Astyanax mexicanus: one gene and its partners. The protein of the gene in region 1 interacts with the protein of each later gene in a pairwise test. Links are inferred from orthologs where the notes say so. Each region holds a gene or a part of one and is shown on either strand. Other genes may lie near its edges.

What was found.
Region 2: the proteins of glial fibrillary acidic protein (region 1) and pdzk1 interact in binary tests that used the Homo sapiens proteins (3 or more experiments, as listed by UniProt). The link is inferred for Astyanax mexicanus from reciprocal best matches to the Homo sapiens genes GFAP and PDZK1.
Region 3: the proteins of glial fibrillary acidic protein (region 1) and ribc2 interact in a two-hybrid assay, tested with the Homo sapiens proteins (2 studies listed by BioGRID and IntAct). The two-hybrid records come from large-scale screens. The link is inferred for Astyanax mexicanus from reciprocal best matches to the Homo sapiens genes GFAP and RIBC2.

The regions. Positions count from the first base shown.
Region 1 is NC_064426.1:21,114,833-21,122,338, reverse strand, and holds the start of glial fibrillary acidic protein, read right to left. Parts: upstream 3,004-7,506; 5' UTR 2,916-3,003; coding exon 2,416-2,915; intron 1-2,415.
Region 2 is NC_064418.1:9,927,853-9,935,243, reverse strand, and holds the start of pdzk1 (Na(+)/H(+) exchange regulatory cofactor NHE-RF3), read right to left. Parts: upstream 3,099-7,391; 5' UTR 3,038-3,098; intron 474-3,037; 5' UTR 423-473; intron 269-422; 5' UTR 264-268; coding exon 57-263; intron 1-56. UniProt on the Homo sapiens protein: A scaffold protein that connects plasma membrane proteins and regulatory components, regulating their surface expression in epithelial cells apical domains.
Region 3 is NC_064417.1:4,634,602-4,642,005, reverse strand, and holds the start of ribc2 (RIB43A-like with coiled-coils protein 2), read right to left. Parts: upstream 3,099-7,404; 5' UTR 3,013-3,098; coding exon 2,896-3,012; intron 2,202-2,895; coding exon 2,120-2,201; intron 1,532-2,119; coding exon 1,220-1,531; intron 724-1,219; coding exon 605-723; intron 475-604; coding exon 247-474; intron 1-246. Other genes in the region: probable polypeptide N-acetylgalactosaminyltransferase 8, read right to left, coding at 5,885-6,019, 6,783-6,950. UniProt on the Homo sapiens protein: Microtubule inner protein (MIP) part of the dynein-decorated doublet microtubules (DMTs) in cilia axoneme, which is required for motile cilia beating.

The sequences.
Region 1 (7,506 bases):
TTCCTATTACATTTACTACTGTCTTTTTTTTTAAAGTTGGCAAACATTTTTAGTATACCAGCAGGCAAACCAATAAAGCACAGTACATTTACCTCAGCAGTGCAATTTTAGTCATATATTTACCTCAGAACAATCCTAATGAATCCAAAGTTTCAGTGTACCCCTACATTAGACTCTACTAATTCACGTTTAAAAGTCATACATTGAATTACAACGGCTGCTCAAGTTAATCCATATTACAGCAAAGTCCAACAATAGGTTAAAATCATAAGGATATGGTCAGAGAAAGATCTCATCCACATTTAATACAAGTAGAAACAGAACGTGTTCAAATTTCTTTAGTCAAATTGTAAAAAAATATATATATATATTTTTGACAGAAAATGAGAATGGGCTGAAATAACAAAAAAGATGCAGAGCTTTCAGATGCAAAGACAACTTATTCATATTCATAAAGTTTTAAGAGTTCAGAAATCAATATTTGGTGGAATAACCCTGGTTTTTAATCCCAGTTTTTATGCATCTTGGCCTTTTCTCCTCCACCAGTCTTACACACTGCTTTTGGATAGTGCCACTCCTGGTGTGCAAATTCAATCAGTTCAGCTTGGTTTGATGGCTTGTGATCATCCATGTTCCCCTTGATTATATTCCAGAGGTTTTTAATTTGGTAAAATCATGATTTTTAAGTAGTCTTTTTATTTTTTTTCCATAGCTGCATATATAAATGGACAATTCTCGATCAAAATTTTGATTTTTTTTTTTTGATTTACATAACAACTTTAGTTTTTTATTTGTAATCAGACAGCTCCATTTAAAGTGATACACATTTTTTTACGAATAGTAAGTAGCCTCTTTTAACCTTATATGCAACTTTTTTGGAAAACGCATTAGAACAGTAATTTGAATAATTCACAAATTCACTAAAATAAGCAGGCATGGTCTAAAAGTAAGAGTTATGGGCTTGGGACCAGTATGTTGCCAGTTCTATTCCCTGGTCTGGCAGGGATTGGTAATTAAGGCTTAACAACAACAGCGCTAAATGTGACGTATAAACCTGGTCAGGTTGTTAGCTACATTAGCCTTATAGCTCTAAAAAAGGAGGAAGGTTCAGATAACTTCTGTCTGGTTTGAGAGAAAACAGGTTTCTGGTGGTGGTTGGGGCATGGCTAATGCTAACACGCCTACTGTGAGTCAGCAGCTAATTGTTTAGGAGACATTTGGTTAAAAAATGTTTTTTTCCAGGACAAAAAGACATCTGCACAGCACTTTTAAGGGTTTAGCAGAGGAACTATTGTGTCCTTCCCTGCCCCCACTTTTCCCGCCTCTGGAAAGAGGAGGGATAAAGAAGAAGAAACTCATGCTGGAAAAGAAAGGCAAGTGAATATGAATGAATGAATAAATTAATGGATGCCTGGATGGATGGGTGGATGGATGAAAATCCTTGCAAGAATTCTGCCATTACGAAGCTATAAATCCGCATGCACTCAATCAGAGTATCAGAATTTATAGCTGAAATAATGCCCAGCCTATATATGGTTGCCTCTCAGCCCACCCGTTGCTGTGGCAACTTTCAGGCACAATTCAAAGAGCTCCATTTGAATAGTCGCATTTCTTTGGCATCCCTGCTGACCTCAGAGAATTCCTTTACAATCCATCCATCTGCCACCCTTAAAGCTCCCCTGGTTTTTTGAGTATTGGCTTGGATTAGAGCCATGACTGAGCGCACAGAAATGCACCGTAAGTTTAGCTTGAAGCAAACTTGTACAGACTAAAGTTTAGGACAAACAAGAAGATATGTAGCAACATTTGGACTCTAAGGTGTTTGGACACTTTAACCATTTGTCTGTCCAATAAGCTTGTGTATACTGCTTGTATGAACTCTGAAGCATACAAATGTATTTTGGATGCAGGTAAACCCTCAAAAACTTCATTTTGAAAAAAAATGTGTCTTCCAAACAAACAGTAATAAAACACAATTTTCTTTCCTAACAAAATTTTCTTTCCAAAAAGTTTCCGAGGCCACTGTTTATATAGTATAAAACAGGGGTTCTTAACCTTTTTCTCTCTGTGACCCCCTTCAACCCCCTAAGGACTATGTCAGGACCTGCTTGTGGGTCGCAACCCCTGGGTTAAGAACCTGATATTAATTCAAATATTGAAATAAAACAAAATCAAAGTACAAATTCAACTCTATTTCTGTGTTCTTCCCCCATTTTATTCCTCTCTTACCAATTGTTACATGTTTGTCGGATGTTCTTTTTCTAAATTAGGTAATTAATTTAATAGTAAGCCCTTACTTGTTGAAGTGAGCCTGTCAGAACAGGGAAAACTAGAGCACTGCTAAAGCTAAAGGTCCTCCAGGACTACAATTGGCCTTCAACTAATTAACTATACAGTCGACTAAGCTCATCCTACCTCTGTTTGAGTGTGACCAGATCAGCCGCCAGGTTGTCCCTCTCAATCTCCAGCCTGGCCTTCCCTGCATTGAGGCCGTCCACCTGCCTCCGCAGCTCCCTCAGCTCCTCCTGGTAGATGTCCCCCAGGCGGCTGGGCTCTTTTCCCCGCAGCTGGTTCAGCTCGGCCACCAGCATCTTATTCTGCTGCTCCAGGAAGCGCACCTTCTCAATGTAGCTGGCAAAGCGGTCGTTCAGCCCCATCATCTCCACCTTCTCGTTGGTGCGAGTCTCCCGGTACTGTGCCTTCAGCAGAGAATCGGCCGAGAAGTCCAGCCGCTCGCCACCGAGGGACAGCCGGGAGGTGGACAGGGCTCCCGGGCTGGACAGGGTCAGGTGGCGAGGGGTGCTGTGGAGGGACAGGCGGCCAGTGCTTAGGCGGCTGGACAGGGCAGGGGACCCGGTGGAGCCCTGAGGCCCGAAGCGCTTGCGGTAAGAAGAGAGAACACGCTGGCTCTCCATGTTGGGGCAAATGGGGTTGAACACCAGGGAAAGAAGGCTTTTATATTGAGAGAGAGTGTGAGGGAGAGGGTGAGGGAGAGCGAGGGAGTGAGGGACTGAGTGAGAGGGTCCAGTGGGAGGGATGGAGGAGGTGGAGGAAGGGGTAGAGAGAGGGCATAGAGGGAGAGAGTGAAAAGGAGGGGTGTGAGGGGTGGACAGGGTGTGTGTGTATTGTTTGTGGCGTCTCCTGACCTGTTCCTTTTCTCTCTTTCTCAGTCTCCGGGGTGTGTGTGGTGAACTGGGGGCTACATTCAGTCACAGAAAATCTATTCATCTCTGATGGAGAGCAAAAAAGAGAGAGGGAGGGAGGGAGGGAGGCCGGGAGGGAGAGAAAGAGAATGTCAATTGTATTTGTCTCTTTTTACCTCCTGCTGGTGAGCTCCTTGATTGCACCACAGAGAGAAAGAGAGAGTGAGAGATATATGGGTGAACAAGGAAAACTCTTTTCTCTGAGTGTTTAAGTACGTCTCACCCCGCACCAAAGTTACACTCACTTTTGGCTGCATCTGAGTCACCGATGGTCTCTTACTTCTGTCTGGGTCTTTTCTCTGTGGAAGTTTAATGATGTCACGGACCAGTGGTGCGATTACGTAATGTGTTGATTAAAAAGAGTGTGTGACAGACTGGCCGGCAGCGAGTCTGAGTCGGCTCTCTTCATTGTGCTAATCTGGAAACATCATGCAGAAGAAAGTGCTGTTAAAATTCCACATTCACTGTAAGACATGACTTTAAATTGAATTTCTACAATCCCAAATCAGAAACAAAGTTGGAATGGTGTGAAGATGTAAAGTTCCAAAAAAGGTGTTTATTTTACATACTTTGACTTTGGTTTAATTGCAGACTGTATGAACCCAATAAAGTTTCTAATGTAGCCATTCCTTCTCACAACGCTTACAATGTATTTTAGCACCAAGGATACAAGGTAATGGAGTGTTTCAAGTGGTAATTTGTCCCAGTTTTCCAGCAAACATGTCTTACGGTCTGCAGCAGTACAGGGTCATCATGGTTGCAATAAGGGATAGGTCAGGACTGCAGTTAGTCTTGTCCAGTACCTGTGCCTTTGTAATCTGTGCAGCATGTGGTCTTGCATTATCTGGTTAAAAATGCATGGACAACCCTGGAAAAGACGTCGCCTTGGAGCATGTCACTTTAAAAGTGCTTTCACACCTGGTCTGGACTTTCAGACTTTTCAATTTGGTCCAAACTAAGGTAGAAGGCTTTGGACCAAAGCACCAGAGTTTGGTCTGATCAAAGCACTTTTCTAGTTGATTGAGACAAACTTTAAAGAAACCAGAGGAAAAAACAATTGATGTTCTGCTGAAATCCAACTCCCCTTGGCATGCAAGCATGTTGTGCAGCAGTATGGACACAAACATTTAGACTGTGAATGTAGTACAACATGTGGTGTGTGGTGGTATCAGCAGTTGCTAAATATGGCAATCCTTTGGAACCTTCGGCAACTCCTTTGAAGCTTGTTGCTGCTAGTCACAACCTTCCGTGGATTTTCTCTCTTCACCTGGAACGATCTGAAAGTAATAATTCAAGACACGCAATTTTTGGTCATGCTTGCTGGCTCATCCCATTGTTTTGTTGTATCCCTCTTAGTTGACAGGCATCTTTGTCCAGGTACTATTACAGGAGGAACTGAAAAGGTCCAGATCTTTCTCATGGCATAGCTGCCAACTCCAACATTACCTCTGCCCAACACATCCTACTGGTCAGTAGTTCCTACACCTGGGACGTTAGGTTAGTCTAAATCTCTGTTGCAGCACCTTCTTTGCTTTCAAAACCGTGATCTCCTCTATGATGAATTTCAATTCATTGCAAGTGTTTCACAGTTTTCTCAGAGATTGCTACACCTGAAATGGGAAAACAGGACTGGTCCCTTGACTGGGTTGAATGGCTAACACCATCAGGGACTTTGACACTGGATGAATGCCATGAAAGTGCATCCTCTCTGCTTCTACAGCTCTGTTAAGACCATATGCCTCCAAACACTTACTCATTGATGACTGGTAAGTCATCCTTAAAGGAATAGGGCAAGCACTATTCTTCCACTGCACAAAGTGACACCACATTTCACCCCTTGGTTTTTGTCCAAGACTGATGAATCTTCAGACCTTTCTCTTCTCCCCTTACAGATCTTGCCACATGAACATTTGATACTCATCAGACATTCATTTGCAAGAAACTGTTTGCGAGAGATTTTAGCTGCGTTACAAAATGCCTAGGCTGCAGCTGAGTTAGGCTGCACCTCTTAGCCGCTACCTTACTGATGACTGCTCCAAACTGAGGGACCCTTCATTGTTCGGAAAGATTTGAAGAATGCAACTGATGCGTTCTTTGCGGCTTTTGGTTACCAAAGTGTGCAAAATTAAAAGATAATGAAGCCTTCGGAGAAGAGTTCATTTTGAAGGAATAAAAAATAAAAAAGAACACGATTTTGCACCACACGGTTATCTGATGTTCACGAGTGGCATCAAGAAGAAGCTTGTGTGACCAACAGGCTACAGTTTTACCAAGAACCCAGTCTACCTTGACTGCATCCTAGCATTGGAATGAAGGTTTTCTGTTTCTAACCCTGGGCTCCTTGTAGGTGAATGTTTTTAGTCATGGCCTGGCAGAGAAATACACAGAGAAATGACAGAGAAACACTGTTATAGGGGATTCTTTCAATCCAAGCTTTTTCCACACATTAAGTGTTATTTGGTCTGCCAAGCCTCAGAACTCAGTAATTTGGCAACATGGGGTCAAACCTCAGCTTTCGTCCTAGCTTTAATCGGGATGTCAGGACTCTGAAGCCTCCACACTAAATTGCTTGTCTCTTCCTCTCTACAGTGATGACAAGTGCATTGTAAACTTGACAGAGGTACTGCTTGGTCTGTGCCAGTTGCTAACCAAATCTAAGAAGTTGCTTGTTGCTCGTTTTCCATTTAAAAAGGCACAACACAGTTATCTCCAGCAAGGCTCCAGCAACGCAATGTCTTTATCGACTCTGAAAACCTAGCTGCGGGAACTTCAGTCAATTTGGGATTTTTTTGTTCCCTTGTTCTCTCATTCCCTCTTTGGCTGATCAAGCAAAAACATCTGCCAGTGTAAGAAAGACTGTTGACTAAAGCACAGTCATGCCATGCATCTATAATAGGTTATTTTTCCCCATGAATCCTGGATGGCAGGACCCTTCTCCCTTGATCTCATGCCAGCTCTGAGCACAGTGCACTGAGGCACTGAACTATGCAGCTTGGCTGGGATTTCAGAAAAGTGTTGAGCATGGCTTCCAAGGGTCACTGGGTCCAAGCAGGTGCATGCTGGCCTTTGGTCTCTAAATCCAAGACTACACAACGTGACAATCAGGCCACATTTAAAGATATTTCACTCCTCCCAGCTATGGCAAAAAAGTGTCCTGTTTTAAAATGAGTATCAGAAAGGTTATAGTAACTAAGGTAATTATTCTGGGGAGCAGAGAAGCATTTCATAGAATGCTAACCATGTTGAATTCTGAAGATGATGGGCAACAACAGAAAAAGACCACACTGAGATACATTTCTATTAAGAACGCTGAAGCTACCATAGGCACAGACTTGTGGAAAGTTGAAGACTTGGCAAACTGTGGCATGAAGACTGAAGACAAGGTCTGATGAATCTTGATTTCTGCTAAAACAGCCAGGTGGTGGCGTAAGACCTCCCTTATATTAACAGTCCAGGCTGACGGATGTGGTATAAAGAAGTGAAAATTTTCTTGGCATACTTTAGGCTAATTAATACCAATTCATTATCACTCAAATGTAACAGAATATTTGAATATTGATGCTGACCATGTGCATCCCTTCATGGCCACAATTTTCCCCCAACAAAAAGGCTTCGTCCTGTATGATGATGCACCATATCACAAAGCAAATGTCACCATCAAACCGGTTTTAACCGGTTTCCAAAGGTTTCTTCAGTCACAAGACCTAAACTTTGTTGAATATCTTTGAGATATGACAGAGGAGGAGATGTGTAGCTTGAAAATACTTTTTTTGCAGAAAAAGTGTAATCAATTAATGTCATCATGAACCAGAATCTCAAAAGAAAAGACTTCTTGTCAACTTCTTGCAGAATACAGGCTATGATAAACTGAGATTGTTTTAAGCAAAGGAAAAGTGCTTGGTGAGTGTAAACATTAAAACAGTTTTTAAAAATCATAGAGAACAGTAATTCAGAGCGCAGGCTGCACTAGCTATGTTGGCAAAAGGCTGATAGATGCCATTCCATAACTTGCCAAGTGAGCCCTCAACAAATATCTAGCAGGTTTGATATCTGGACCAGTCAATAACTCTAAATTTGATAGTATGCAAAATGTTGTGACTGGAAGTTAGCGCAGTGACTAGCTACAGCCAATGAGAGCATAAAACATGGAGTGAGTTCTGATGAGATAAACCACACTACGAGCTATGAGAGAGCGAGAGATAGAGAGAGAGAGAGAAAGAAAGAGAGAGAAAGGGAGACACAGGCTCAGGCCACTGGACCATCCGCCTGGGTGAACGCATCATGCTCTCTGCTCTCATTGTCT
Region 2 (7,391 bases), on another chromosome or scaffold:
AATATAAAACTACTCCAATTTAAAAGCTTGTTTATAGTTTGATATTAACTTTATACCTGGCTGTGTTCCAGGTTGTCAACATAAGTGCCGTTGACTCTGACGATGCGATCTCCATCCTTCAGCCCTGCCAGCTCTGCAGGACCACCCATCTCCAGGGCCCGGATCAGATGACCATCCTCACCCTGTTCAATCCTCAGGAAGAAGCCATAGCTTTGACCCTCACGCTTATTGAGAGAGATCACTCGAGGTTTGGGCACAGACATGTTTCCTAATGGAGAAAAAGTATATAGTTAAAATAGAAATTAAACTAAATTTAACTAATAATTCTGATAAATTGGTGGGAAAAAAATTATGTTAAAAATATAAAATGTAAAAAAAAATCTGCATAACTAGATGATTTAGACAATACTGGAGAAACTTACTGAGTCAGACGTCTTTTAGATGGTGGTGAAAAGAACCAGGGGTTGTGAGCCCTAAAACACAAAAATTACCTTTTTAATTGTCACCAGTACACCTGCACTTCTTTTTTTTATTTTTATTTATTATATATTTATACCGTAAATTTCATGTTAATAAAATTAACATGTATGCCTATTAAAAATTGCTAAGAAAAATTGCTAAAAAGGCCAAAAGTTTTAAAACTGTTCTAAAACAATGTCTCTGTTTTGTTTTTGTTTTTTTTTTCACAACATTTCTGTAACCATTTTTGTCTAATTTGAATTGTTTACAGTGATGGTCATGAGAAAAAAAGACATTCTCTAAAAAGCTATTAATAAATCCAACTAGTGTAAAATAGTTTTTTTGGGCATTAATTAGATTCATTAACAGCTTTTTAGAGAATGTTTTTTTTCTGACCATCACTGTAAATAATTCAAATTATCTTTCAAAGTATTTTTTCTCGTAATTCACAATTTTAATTTCACATGATTTTTCACACAGATATCTAACTGATTTTACCTTTATATAAATAATTACATGAAAAAGTGTAAAAACTATAAAAAAAAGTGCCAGACCTTCCCTTTAAGTCCTCCAGCAAGTGATTGCACACCTTTTCGGTGCCCTTTTACAGTTTATATCTAATCTTAATGATAACCAGCATTATCATTCCATACCTGCCAAATTGTTTTACAACACAAGCTGCTATAAAAGTGTAAGTTTATCAGCGGGGTGTGGTGAATGGTGTTCTTACATCACCATTTAAATCTCTTTAACGTAACACTGCGGAAAAGTATAGATTCATAAATAAACATTCACAATAATGAAAGAATGGACTTCATTATTTTATTATTATTAATTTGTATCTTTATATATTATAATTATGCATTCATGCAATGTCCAAAAACATACAAATAAAAATCCTAAGAAAAGATACTGTCAAGGTGCAGCATATAATTTAAGGTTTAATTTTTTTATACTTTAAAAGAATGCTTACATTCTTATAACCCTCCCATAACTTATAACCTGACTGTATTAAATAAAGGGAAATAAAGAAAAACACCTAGACTTAATGCAGAGAAATAAAACTGCAAAGAAATATAGATAATATATTTATTCTCCAACCAAAGTCACTAAAGATTAAATGTACTTTAAATGTACTTTGGATTATGTGACATTATTATAATATCCATAAATTACTCAACCAGTCACTTTACAACCACTAAAATCAGTGGAATATCGTACTAAATTAGGCCCACATTACTGATAGTACAATTTATAGCAATTACAGTAAAAACATGGACAGGTGGACCAGACAGGCTTGTATACGTAACGTATATACAGTGATATACAGTTAAATATAATTTTTGATGAATCTCTTCCTGAGGCTGTACAGAGATAACTGTGAGTAATTTGAGATGTGCAAATCATAGCAATTATCCAGAGCCATAAAATCCCTATCCAGACTGAAGACATGCAGGTTTAATAAGAAGATAATATGCTGACATTCACAGAATGTACTCTTGCTCTCGGATCGTTAATTGTTAAACTGGAGGTGCGATGGTAAAGTGCGTTCTTTGCTGGAGCGAATGCACTTTGCCTCCGCAATAAAAAAAATGTCAATAGCCATTTTTACCAAGCGTGAAGAAAGAGAGAAGAGGCATGTGTGAAATGTCATCTAGATTTTTATATTATAACTGTCACAAAAATTTTACATTTTCAGAATACTTCGATCAAAATACATTGTTTTCTTGAAGAATGACAAAATATTTAATATAGTTTATTACACTAAGCTATAATACAAGAAATATGAATTTAGCACTGGACATATCAATGCTGTCCAATAAAAAAACATGCATTTCCAAAAAAGCAACTTTAAGGGAAAGAGAGATCCCAAAACCTTAACTTTCAATGGAAATAAAAAAAAAAGTTTATTTCAGGTAATGTTGCAGAATTTCTTTCAGGATCTTTATCAAAAAATTGATGCATTTTAAGGAAAAGTTCGGTTTTCAAATTCTGTATAACCTAAAAATCAACAAAAATGGAGATACTTGTTTTTCATTTAACACTAATGATATGCCCTATGCATTATCATCATTTTAAAATCCATCAGAGATTACGTAATACCTCACCCATAACTAACCAACGTTACTATAGCTCTCGATCAGTTATGATATTTTCAGATTGCATGGTGATGTATTCTATAATCATAGCAATTTATGATTATAGAGCCTATAATTCGATTTGTTTTCTAATTAATAAAAATCCAATACAAAAAAATTATTTGATACTGACCTCTGAACATATTTGCCTGATTGCTAGATGCAGCTTTCATTAATTACAGCAATTCTACAGATACCAGCTTTGACTGTGTATAAACTATATGTATTTTTTGGAGCTTAATATGATCAGGACAATAATATAAAAGGGGGGAATTATTCACAGCATACTAAAATTTAAAGTCAGCAATTAGAACAAATAGAGCATGATAATGATATCGAGATTGAAAATTAAAAACTGAAATAACAAACTGATGCACTTTTGAAGGTATCACAGTTATAGATTCTAATAATTCTCTGCAGGTCAGGTAGATGCTACTCACCTGTTCAGGTCCTGTGGAAGTCCGTACTGAAAGGAGGTTCTTGCCTCTTCTTACAGATGTTATCTATCTATCTGTGTGTAAGTCTGTACCGGACTTTGACAGGCCAAAGGTTTACTTAAAGAGTGAGTTATTTAACCACATCTCGTGGCTGAACGCCTCTTCCCACTGTTGCTGTGAATAATCCTGATCAACCCTGTAAACTGCAGCAATCATAAACTTTAGGAAGGATTTGAGTTAGGATGAGAGTCTATGGAGGCTGAGGGCAGAAGTGACACGGTACTATTTCTAATTCTGTTCATTTAAATGAACTATTCAAGTGCTTTAAATGTTCTGAACTGAAGTGAGAAACAAAAAATGTCTGCCATTGACCTGTCATCAAGTATCAACGAGTAATCCAGCTCAGAAAAATAGCAATTTATTTGCGTCATCAAAAACGCTGGTGTTTGTTATAAATTATTCAGTCTTTTCACTTATTCATCTGAAAAACAAAGGCACTTTTCAGCAGAATAATTTGGGCTGCAGAATTTTCATGTGTATTACATTACAGGATTACATGTTTCTTCACAAATCAACAGAATTAAAAACAGTTTATCCTGCTCAAATACACACAATTTAACATTCAAATTTTGCGTTTAAATAAATTTTATTTTAAACCAGTTAGAATTAATAAAATCTTATTATTCTCTTTTTACATTTCAGATTTTTTACATTCTCTTTTAAGATAACAGAGGCATTTTTATTGTTGGATAGTTGATTTATTTAATTAATTCTCTGCTCACAAATACCTATCATATTTCATATCAAGCTTTTTATTTTTTAACACAAAGTATGAAGAACTAATTGGCCAGAACAGAAGCAGAATGCTGTGCTGAACCTTCAGGCTGAACCTTTTAAACATCATGCTTTTGATCTTTTGGTCCTCTCAAACCCACAGATCCTTAAATTAGCAGACAAGCTGTGGTTTAATCCTGATATCATGCTGAGAACAGCTCAGCTAACGTTTCTCTCGGTGGGAATAATGTTCCAACATTCAAGGATGAGATTTAACACTATGTGTCTACAGTCTTTCTTTTGCAGAGTAAACACAGACCACAAACTGCTCAATGTGGATCTGAAGGCAAAGTTTTCGACTGGTCTTTGTGCTGAAAGAGACGCAGACTGGGATCTTGTTCTAAGGTGCATTTCATCATTTAAAAACAGCTGTTTTGTATTTACTCAGGTTATACTTCTCTGATATTAAAGTTTGTTTGATAATCGGAATAATGTAAGTATGATAAAAAAAAAAAGCAAAAACAAGAAGAAAGCAGTAAAGATTGAACTGGTCTTTGGGCTGAAAGAGGAGCAGACTGGGATCTTGTTCTAAGGTGCATTTCATCATTTAAAAACAGCTTTTTTATATTTACTCAGGTTTATTTCTCTGATATTAAATTTGATTGATAATCGGAATAATGTAAGTATGAAAAAAGCAAAAAAATAAGAAAGCAGTAAAGATTGAACTGTTTTTTTTGCTGCAAGAGAAGCAGACTGGGATCTTGTTTTAAGGTGTATTTCATAATTTAAAAACATCTTTTCTGTGTTTACTCAGGTTTATTTCTCTGATATTAAATTTGTTTGATAATCGTATTAATGTAAGTATAGTAAAAAAGCAAAAACATAATAAAAAAGTAAAGGGGTAAATATTTTTTCTTAGCTCCACAACTAGGGAGAGAAGACGATGACACAAGTCAGGAAACCCTCTCTCTCCAAGGCAAGCTTGAGAACATTGAGACACAAGTTTTGGTTCTGGAATAAAACAATTTATTTACAACTAAACCAGAGTGTTGACTGGGTTTTTTTATGCATCTCTACAGCAGAAAAACATAAACTGAAAATACTGAATAAACCTGCCTTTTTTTTTCAAATACACTAAACAAAAATATAAACACTTTTGCTTTTGCTCCCATTTTTCATAAGCTAAACTCAAAGGATCTAAGACTTTTCCTCTGTGCACAAAAGACCTTTATTTTCTCAAATTGTGACCACAATTGGGTCTAAATCTGTGTCTTCTTTGCTGAGATAAACCATCCTCCAGTCACAGGTGTGGCATATCAAGATGCTGATTAGACACAGGGATTATTACACAGGTGTAATAATCACTGTGCATCTTAATATGCCACACCTGTGATTGGTGGATGGTTTATCTCAGCAAAAGTGAGAGAAGTGCTCACTTATAACACAGATTTAGACCCAATTATGAGCAAAATTACAGCGTATTTTGTGTACAGAGGAAAAGTAGATATTTGAGTTCAACCAAAATGTTACATTTATATTTTTGTTCAGTGTATATTAATCTGCATTCACCAACACTCAACACACTTCAATACTGTTTAATACTGTCTAACCTTTAAATACAGCGTTGCCCTCAGTGAGAGACTTACTGACATCATAATACATTTTCAGTCTCAAATAATTGAAACTTCACATTTCAGAATCAATTGAACAGAGTGATCCACAAATTCTTATCCTTAGCAGCTCAGAGAGGTGCTTTACACACACACACACACACACACCGCACTCACTAAAGCAATAACATGCCTGAGTGGGCTGTCTTTTCAATACCCTTTAATTATTGAGCAGCAGCTGAATATGCTGCAGTAACCTTGAAGAGACTGCTGAACACCTTTATTCCAAAGAACTGAAAGGTATAAATGATACTAAGTGCTTAATTTATTATTTAATATCTTTTCTAGATTTGTAACCTTTAATTTAACTTAATATTGATGAAACTTACTTTAATACGCTGCTCATTTCTGATATTAAACACATTAAACACATTTAATGACCAATTTATGCAGAAATCCAAGTAATATTAAAGGGATTTATTCACTCATGAACTCCTCTAGTGTGGGCTAGAGGATTTATACTGCTGAGCCTGAGACCCTGAGGCCAAAAGGTCTTAATCTATTAAAATATAGAATTATTATTATTATTATTATTATTATTATTATTATTATTGTGGAGGCTCCACATTATGTTAAATCATATTTTCAGGAAAGCCAGCCGTGGCTGTTGTGTAAGGACTGCATCGTCTCTCAGTGTCCACTATAGGGAGCCAGTGATTTTCTCCTCAACTCAGAACATAACTTCCTACTTTTTTTAGAAGTAAGACCTGGAAAACCAACCTGTGCTAAATCTGACCCACATTAACTTATTTCATTTGGCCCACTTGACACATAATGCCAAGTATTGATGAGCCAGTTCTAATGAACGACCAAAATATGCCTAGAACTCAACCAGCATTAGCAGGACCATGGCCAGTATACGGTATTATATTATTATTAATAATAATAAAGTACCTAAAGGACATTCAACTATCTAGTCTATCTAGTACATACTTATCACCAAGTAATACATTATTTGTCTTTTTTTTTTTTTTACTACTGCAACTTATGAAGGGCTGACCATACAACGCAATTATTCAATAAATCTATCACTGAATTTAAAATATTGAAAAAAATACAGAAATTTTCACCACTTTTTTATGCTTACTTTATTTTTCCCAGAAATGTAAAAAAAACAGGGGTTGTAAATGGAATATGCAGAAATGTGTTCTCTGTAAGTACATTGGCAAAAAAAAACTTTGCGAACTCTTTGGAATTTCATGTTTTTTTTGCATAAATTTGTCATAAAATGTGATCTTACCTTGATCTCAGTCAAGAGTATTAAGAAATATAATGTGCCTCAAAACATATAAACATTTATTTCTTTATTAAGAACATCCATAAACATGTTATAGTGTTTGTGGAAAAATTATGTGAACCCTTGTGCTTATAACCATAAAATGCTAATGAGAAAGAACTGTGTTCAAAGTTTAGTAGATTTTAACACAGGCTCAGTTTTCAAACTTGGGGCATTTTTTTACACTGGGTTTTTTCCAAACCTGTGTGTGCTTTCTCCAGGGCTTTGGTAGAATTGGTCCAGAGTGAGCGCCCAAGTTTAGTAGTGGTTTCTGATTGGACAGCGATTACATTTCATTTAGGCACAGATTCTGCGCTGCTCCTAGACGAAATGCAATCCTGTGCATTGTGATTTTCTTACGAACAGTCACAGCGCCACACAGTGGAATAACATGCAGTTGAGCATTGTAAAAGTTTTGTGTGCAATTCTAAAACAATTCAGCATTTGGTTTTGAAAATGTAAATTCTTGTGTATTGTTTTAAGAACAGATTTTTTAATAAAGATCAGATGCAGTGAAGTGTAATGAAATAGTGGTTTTACATTTCAGTTTGGCATTTATTCTGTATGTTATACAGAATGCATTTTGCAGATTGTAGTTTTTCCACGATAGTGTTTGCTTTTTAATTTTGCACTAATA
Region 3 (7,404 bases), on another chromosome or scaffold:
TTATATAATTTGTATGACTATTTACTATTATATTTAGCAACTATACTGTTATTCTGCGTTATAATTATTATTGTTATTATTATTTTTATTATTATTATAGGCACTTTCTTCGCCTCACTTCTTGTTTTGTACTGTAAAGATGTCAGTAATTTTGCGCTTCCACTATTTGTGTGTGTGTGTGTGTGTGTGTGCGTGATTTAACCATAAATACATTCTAATTTGATCCTAAAGGTACTCGTGACTCACCCTCCTGTCCTCGGCTTGCTGCTTCTGGTAGTTGCTGTAGTGCAGTAGCTGCTGGGGGGTCATGCCCTTATAGCAGTCCCTGCGCAGTCTGGGACGTCCAGGCACTCGGCTGCTCTGCTCGATGCTCTCGTTCAGCAGTTCCCCCTGCAGCTGGTTCAGGATCTCCACCTGGTTGTTCTCCTCTTCCTCTCGGCGTTGCCTCTCTCTCTGTTCAGATCTTTCGGCAGCCTGTAGATAATGACCGACTGAATGATTTTAGGGCTTATACTTAAATGCGTATACTGACAATTACAGTAGCAATGATTTAGAACTTTCTGTAAACTTGGCTTCTTACTTAAAGTTACAACACTGGACTCACCAGAGCTAGATTGAAGTTCTTGATGGCGATGGTATTGGCTCTCTTGTGCTCTTCCTCCATCTTTTGCAGCTCGACAGCTCTGCTGTCCAGAGCTACTCGGCTTTGGTCATACTGTAGATCTGTTGAAGACGGCAGATGATCAGCGTTATTTTGTTTTTTATATAAATTAATTTACATTGTTTTCCATTTTCTCCCAATTTAGCTAGGCCAATTATGCTACCCATTTAGCTTCTACTCAGTTCTACTCATCCCTCTGACACATTTTTAGTCAGCCACCGCCTCTTTTTTAACTGAACTGCCGAGTAGCATCACAGAGTGCTTAGAAAAAAAGCGCAGCGACTCTATTATGACACATCAGCTCACAGATGCCTTGTGCTGACTGATATCACCCCAAGAGTGATGAGGGGAAATAGAGCCATCTACACACCCAAACAGTGCAAGGTCAATTGTGCTCTCTCAGGGCTCTGGCAGCTGATGGCAAGCTGCATGAACAGGATTCGAACCTGTGATCTCACGATCATAGAGTCAGCGCTTTAGACCACTGGGCCACAAATACAGATAACTGTATTTTGTGCTAAAGTGCCCCTAGCACAGTTCAACATGGTGTAGCTCTACCTTCTTGTTTCTGCTGCTCTTCTGTCTGCTCCAGCTCTTGCTGCTGCTGGATGGACCAGTCCCTCAGCTGCTCTCTCTGCCGCTGTGCTCTGTCTCTGCTGGCTAGATCCTCCCCAGCCAACCCAGGCAAAATGCGCACACCGTCCTGCTTCTTCAGGAACTCAGAGTCGTTCAGGTCGAACTCCCGTCTGCTGCTGGGATGCTGGAAACGACTCCGGAACTGCACAATGGCCTCTTCCAGCAGACGTTCATCTTTCTTCTGCCTGTGCTCCAGTACGCATGCTGTCTGGTCACTGCGTATGAGCTTATCCACTTTTGGGACAAAGAAAGATAAAACAGAAAGATCAGACAAAGGTTTGCATTTTTTTGCTAATGAATCAATTGTTTGTCTGTTCTAACATCTATTATTAAATACATTACCACACAAAACATGTGTGGACATCTCTTCTAATGTATGCATTCACGTACATTTTTATAGATGACTTGCTGACACAGATAAAAATGAACTTTAACCTGTCAGGTGTGGGCTAAAGGGGTATAAAGCCCTGAAAAATTGAGCTATTAAGCAGTGAAACTCTCTTTTATTTTTTATATTTTTTACCACCCTTAATTCCAGAAAAAAACATCTATGAATGAGCAGCTGTGCCAATACTTTCATGATCAGATATAGTATAAGATATGACACAAGAGTATTTTGTGTGGTTTCTTTATTTTTGGTTTATTTTGGTCTACAATAATATATTTATATAAAATAAAATAATAACGACACATTCCTGTGAAGCTGAAAAAAGACAAATCAGAATAAAATGAATCTGCAGTATTTTTAAATAAACAAGTAATAATTATTACATAAAATAAAGTTAATTAAGCAAATCTTTAAAAGCTTTACCAAAATCTTACCATATTCCTTTAGCGCTCTTGCCTCAGCTTGTTCTTTATCCCTTCTTTCCTTCACTTGAAGTTCAAGAGCTTCCTTATCAACCTAGTGCAAGACAACAAAATTTTACATAAATGTTAAAGCTTATAAAATATTATTAGGTTTATCACTGGTTTTCTTATGATGACTCTTCCATGAAGGCCATATTTGTGAAGGTGTTGCGGAACAGTAGAACACATTACCTTTAACTCCAGAGTCTGCTAAATCTTACAGAAGGTCTTTTTCAGTCAAGAAGAGCTTCTGATTTGCCTTTCTAGCAATCCCAAGAGCGCCTGTTCCTGAAATTTCTTTTGGTCTTGTAAACTATATCTTAATCTCCATTGTTCCTGTTAACTGACACTTCTCAATGTTAACCTGAAAATGCTTAAAACTCGATATATTGTAAGACAATTCTCTATGATACTTTACGGAATACTTCTAAATACTTATACTCAGAACTTTACCTATGAAGTGTGGAGCTACTTTGAGTTTGAGTTTACTGGTTTTAGCTTCGGCTAAAAGCGCTGTTTTTCAGAATGCTGGGCTGAACAGAGGTGGGCTATTCGACAAAAGTGTGTACTCATTATCATGTTTCACTGCACCCCAAGTCCATTTTTACACCAGACTTCTCCTTTAACTACATGATAACTATATAAACACGATAATTACATTATCAACTTAACATGCAATAAATAGACATGATCTCATATATATTTCATAATTATCATCACATAACCGGGGAACTAAAGCTCAGACTTACTCCGATTGTTCGCAGTTTGGCGTTAAAAACCCGCTCTTTCCGCAGGAGTTCCCGGGTTTGTCTCTGGTCCAGGTGAGCGGCTGAGAGGCGGTCTGATGGGAGCTGGACGGGGTTCATGTCTGCGGGCGGCGGTTCAGCTCAGCTCCGCTATTCAGCTCCGTCCGTCCGCACAGCAGCAGCAGCAGCAGCACTGTAAACACTGCGTTACTAAGCAACCCAGATAAAAACCGCACGCGACCCCTGCCTTTCCTTATTTATATATACAGCTCTGTAACAAAATAAGAGACCACTTCCGTTTCTGAATCATTTTCTCTAATTTTGCTATTTATAGGTTTATGTTTGAGTAAAATGAATATTGTTGTTTTATTCTATAAACTACAGACAATATTTCTCCCAAATTCCAAATAAAAATATTGTCATGTAGAGCATTTATTTTCAGATAATGAGAAATGGCTGAAATAACAAAAAAAGATGCAGAGCTTTCAGACCTCAAATAATGCAGAGAAGTTTTAACAGTTCAAAAATCAATCAATATTTGTTGGAATAACCCTGGTTTTTAATCAGTTTTCATGCATCTTGGCATCATGTTCTCCTCCACCAGTCTTACACATTGCTTTCGGATAACTTTACGCTACTCCTGGTGCAAAAATTCAAGCAGTTTAGATTGATTTGATGGCTTGTGATCATCAATCCTTATATCCTCTTGATAATATTCCAGAGGTTTTCAATTGGGTAAAATAAAAAAAATCATCTTCAATTCATCTCTAAAAAGGAAAAAAAAAACATGTATTTGTATAATGTAAAGTAGTTATTGTAAAAATACAGTAAAAAAAATAGAGATAAATTATGGAATTTAGAAATATATAATGGTCTAATTTCATCACGTTTAAACATATATATACACCGTTTAGACCAGCATGAATGTTTCGTTAAAGTGGAGTGAAGGTCTAATTTACACTAGACTGAATAACTCTTTCTCTCTATTTTCCTTTTTCTGCTGACACTTATTTTTACTGCTCTGTGCTGTAGAAGATCCTGCAAACTAGAGATTCTCCACCGGGGGCGCCACTACTACTCAACTAGCTCTGTGTGATTATGAATCTTAATAAAACCATTAGATGGTATAACTGCTTTATCATATTATATGATAACGAGTTTATTAAATCGTAGCCATTAAGGCATGGCCAAAAGGTCATTTTGTTTCACAGCTAACAGAGCAAGCAGCTCTCAGGGGTTGTCAAAAGAATTCAACTAAATCAAAATCAGCTGTCAAAATTAACACTGATGCCACTGATTGTCTAGATAGAGTCTCTTACCTCCCAGGCGCTGACCCATCGTTCTGTTCATACCACTCTGGTCTGAAGGACTCGTACATACACCACAGCTGCCAGTCAAAAGCATGGGCAAACGTTTCATATTTAATCACATCCAGGGTGGCACATTCCACTCTATCAAACACTGGAGACAGCACCACGGTCCTGATTCTTGCCAAAAGTGGTTCTGCCCTAAAAGCACATTAGACCAAAAGTTAAATTCTGATTATAAAAATGTAACACAAGCAGCATAGCTGTTTTTGTTTCATTCAAAGTCAAAGTCAAAGTGTTTTTTATTGTCATTTCAGCTATATACAGAGTACACCAGGGACCATGGTGCACATAAACACAGTGTAGACAGAACAAAAAGTGCAACAGTACAAAAGTGCAGACAGACAATACAACACACAGACAAAGAATAATAAATATCAAGACAGTGTGCAAATTATGCAGTGTGCAAAAAAGACCAGTGAGGTAGTAATTACCTCTATTACGCAGTGTGCAATAGAGTCCAGTGAGGACTTTTAAAAACAGCTGTGAATACATTACCATAAACCACGCCCTAATAATTAAATTATTTATAATAAATTATTAATTATTAATTAATAAATAAATCCATCCATAAATCTATCCAGTTTCGACCACACGAGGATGGTTTCTTCTGTGGAGTCTTGGTTCCTCTCTAAATGATTTTTTTGCCAGTGTAATTTCTGGCTTGATCACTAGGGGGATCCATAGCCCATCTTTCTAAAGCTGCTTTATTGCACTTTATTGCAGATCTTCTTGAGAACAGATTTTCTGCAGGTTTTCACTCCAGCCCAAATCAAACCCAATTATTCAATCAAGGGATTTTAAAGACAGTCTTTATTTGGGTCAGAAGGGGTTGGATCTGAAGTGTGATGTGTGAAGGCAGCTCTTCAGGAGCAGGGATAGAGGGAACTGTTACAGAATCAAATCTCAACAAAAATAACTCTCTAAACATTTTAAGATGTTTTTTTTAAACCTTTATTTTTCCTTTTTTTCTTATATGTTCATTTCATTTGTACAATTTGATACTTGATTAACATAACATATGTAATTAGATTTCTAATAAATTATTAATTTGGAAAAGAAATGTTTAGTAAACTATACATTTAGTGCACTATTACAACTTACAGCAGACTATCGTTACCTGCCATCAAGTGAAAATGCCCAGCTAGCTCAAATATCATTTTCAAAAAGTTTAGAAAGAAATTCAGGGTGAATATACAGCACCAAAAAGTTCAAAAGTTTGGACACACCTTCTTATTCAATTTCAATATTAAATTTAAAATGGAAAACATTTTCATTCATAAAAAGAAAGAAAACACTTTGAATGAGAAGAGGTAAACATTCAAATAACACTTTATTCTTTCCACGCCCAACACTAAATACATTTTTTCCTCTAGGGAATTCAATTTCAATAAAACATAAGTAAACCCTTCAAAAATACCAATGTTCAGTAACTCAACACAGTTCTGTAAAACTGTTCACATGTACACAACAGTAAATCCCATTCTGTGCAAAAATAACAGCAATAATGGGAATATATTTTGCGATTATATTGTGCTATTAAACCATCAAAAATATCACTGATAAGTTAGACGAATAGGAGACATTTGAAAATTAGATTTTTTTTTTGGGCTCTTTTAAGATTGCTAAGCATTTTGTATCAAATGTTGTATTGTCCAGTGTTGTCCAGTGCAGTCCTGAATTATAAGATGGTAATATGAATCAGCTCCTTGGGCGATCTCAAGACACCTTTTTGTGTCTCTGTTTTTGATTGCCTGACCCTGTAGGTAAAGCAAAGAGAGATAATTAAATAGACATTGATTAAAATTCATTAATATTAAATCTTAGTACTTAAAACATCAAGTACACATATAAATACATAAATGAATCATTTTAAGATTTATGGATAATTTTCGAGGCAGTTTGGAAGGCTAATTACACAACCCTTTTTCCTATAAGCTCTCGCTCTCACTGGCAATGCCCCAACACATCTCTGGGTAGCCAAAATGCTACACACACATCACACTAGGGGTGAGAAAAGAAATGAACTCAAACTAAGCCCTGAGAGAGCTAGACTGATTGCACACTTTTAGATTCTTTTCTAATGGCAAGCAGCAAGATCCAGGATTCAAACCAGCGATCTCCTCAGATCATTGTGTCAAAGTCTTATAAGTACATTATGAAATTATTTGGAGAAAAATGAATAAAATGTATAGACTTTTTCGCACTATAAGGCGCCCTGTCAATAAACGTCTATTTTTTGGTCTATTTTCTTACACAAGGCACAATAGATTATAAGGCAATCAGGGATAATTATCAGGGATGTCCTGCTATGGGTGGCAAATATGTAACAGGGCTGGACTTTAAATCTAAATCCTGTTTGCTTTCTTCAACTTTCCTTGGCTTTAGGATGGCCCTTTAATATAAAAGTGCTCCATCTTTATTCCTGTTTCACTCAGCAGGTTAATGTTTGGCCACTTAACCAAATTCCACTAATTTACAAAGCTTCCTGTCATCAGTTAACCCGTTCAGCAGAGTACATACCTGTTTAAAGTCCCAGTGCATGTGTAACCCTTTCTCCTTGGCTATTTTGCAGTCATGCAGTCCCGGTGTGTGTCCTTCCCCAGGATCCACCAGACAACGATTATTATTGTACTTGTGGGATTTGATGCCTCCAATGTAAATCTCCCCTCTACGCCTGTAGTAACAGCTCTGTATAAAAAATGCATATATGAAATTCCGATTAATCAAGTAGTTAATAAAAAAACATGAGTTTAATCCTATGTGAAAAATTGGGGGACAAGTGGGAGAGTGTACCCTTGTGGTACAGGTATTTCTTCTTCTTATGACACAAATATTTGATGTCTTCAATAAGAGAAGGAAAATCCTTTTAACTTTCAGTGGAAAGTCAGTAAATGAAGATTTTTTAAGCATTTTTCTTGGTCTGTTGTATTGGAAAATTGGAAAACTGCCAGATTCACACTATGCCCAAACATAAAAATCTGAAAATTTGAAGTATCAAGGTTTTTGTGCAACAGGGACAATTTTCCATGTGAGAATACTTTGAAGTGGCAATAAAAAACTAAGTATTGATCAAATGCTGTAAAGTAAGCTGTCAGACAGTTTGACAAAGTCTGGAAGCCCATTCCAGCCAGATAAAAGAGAA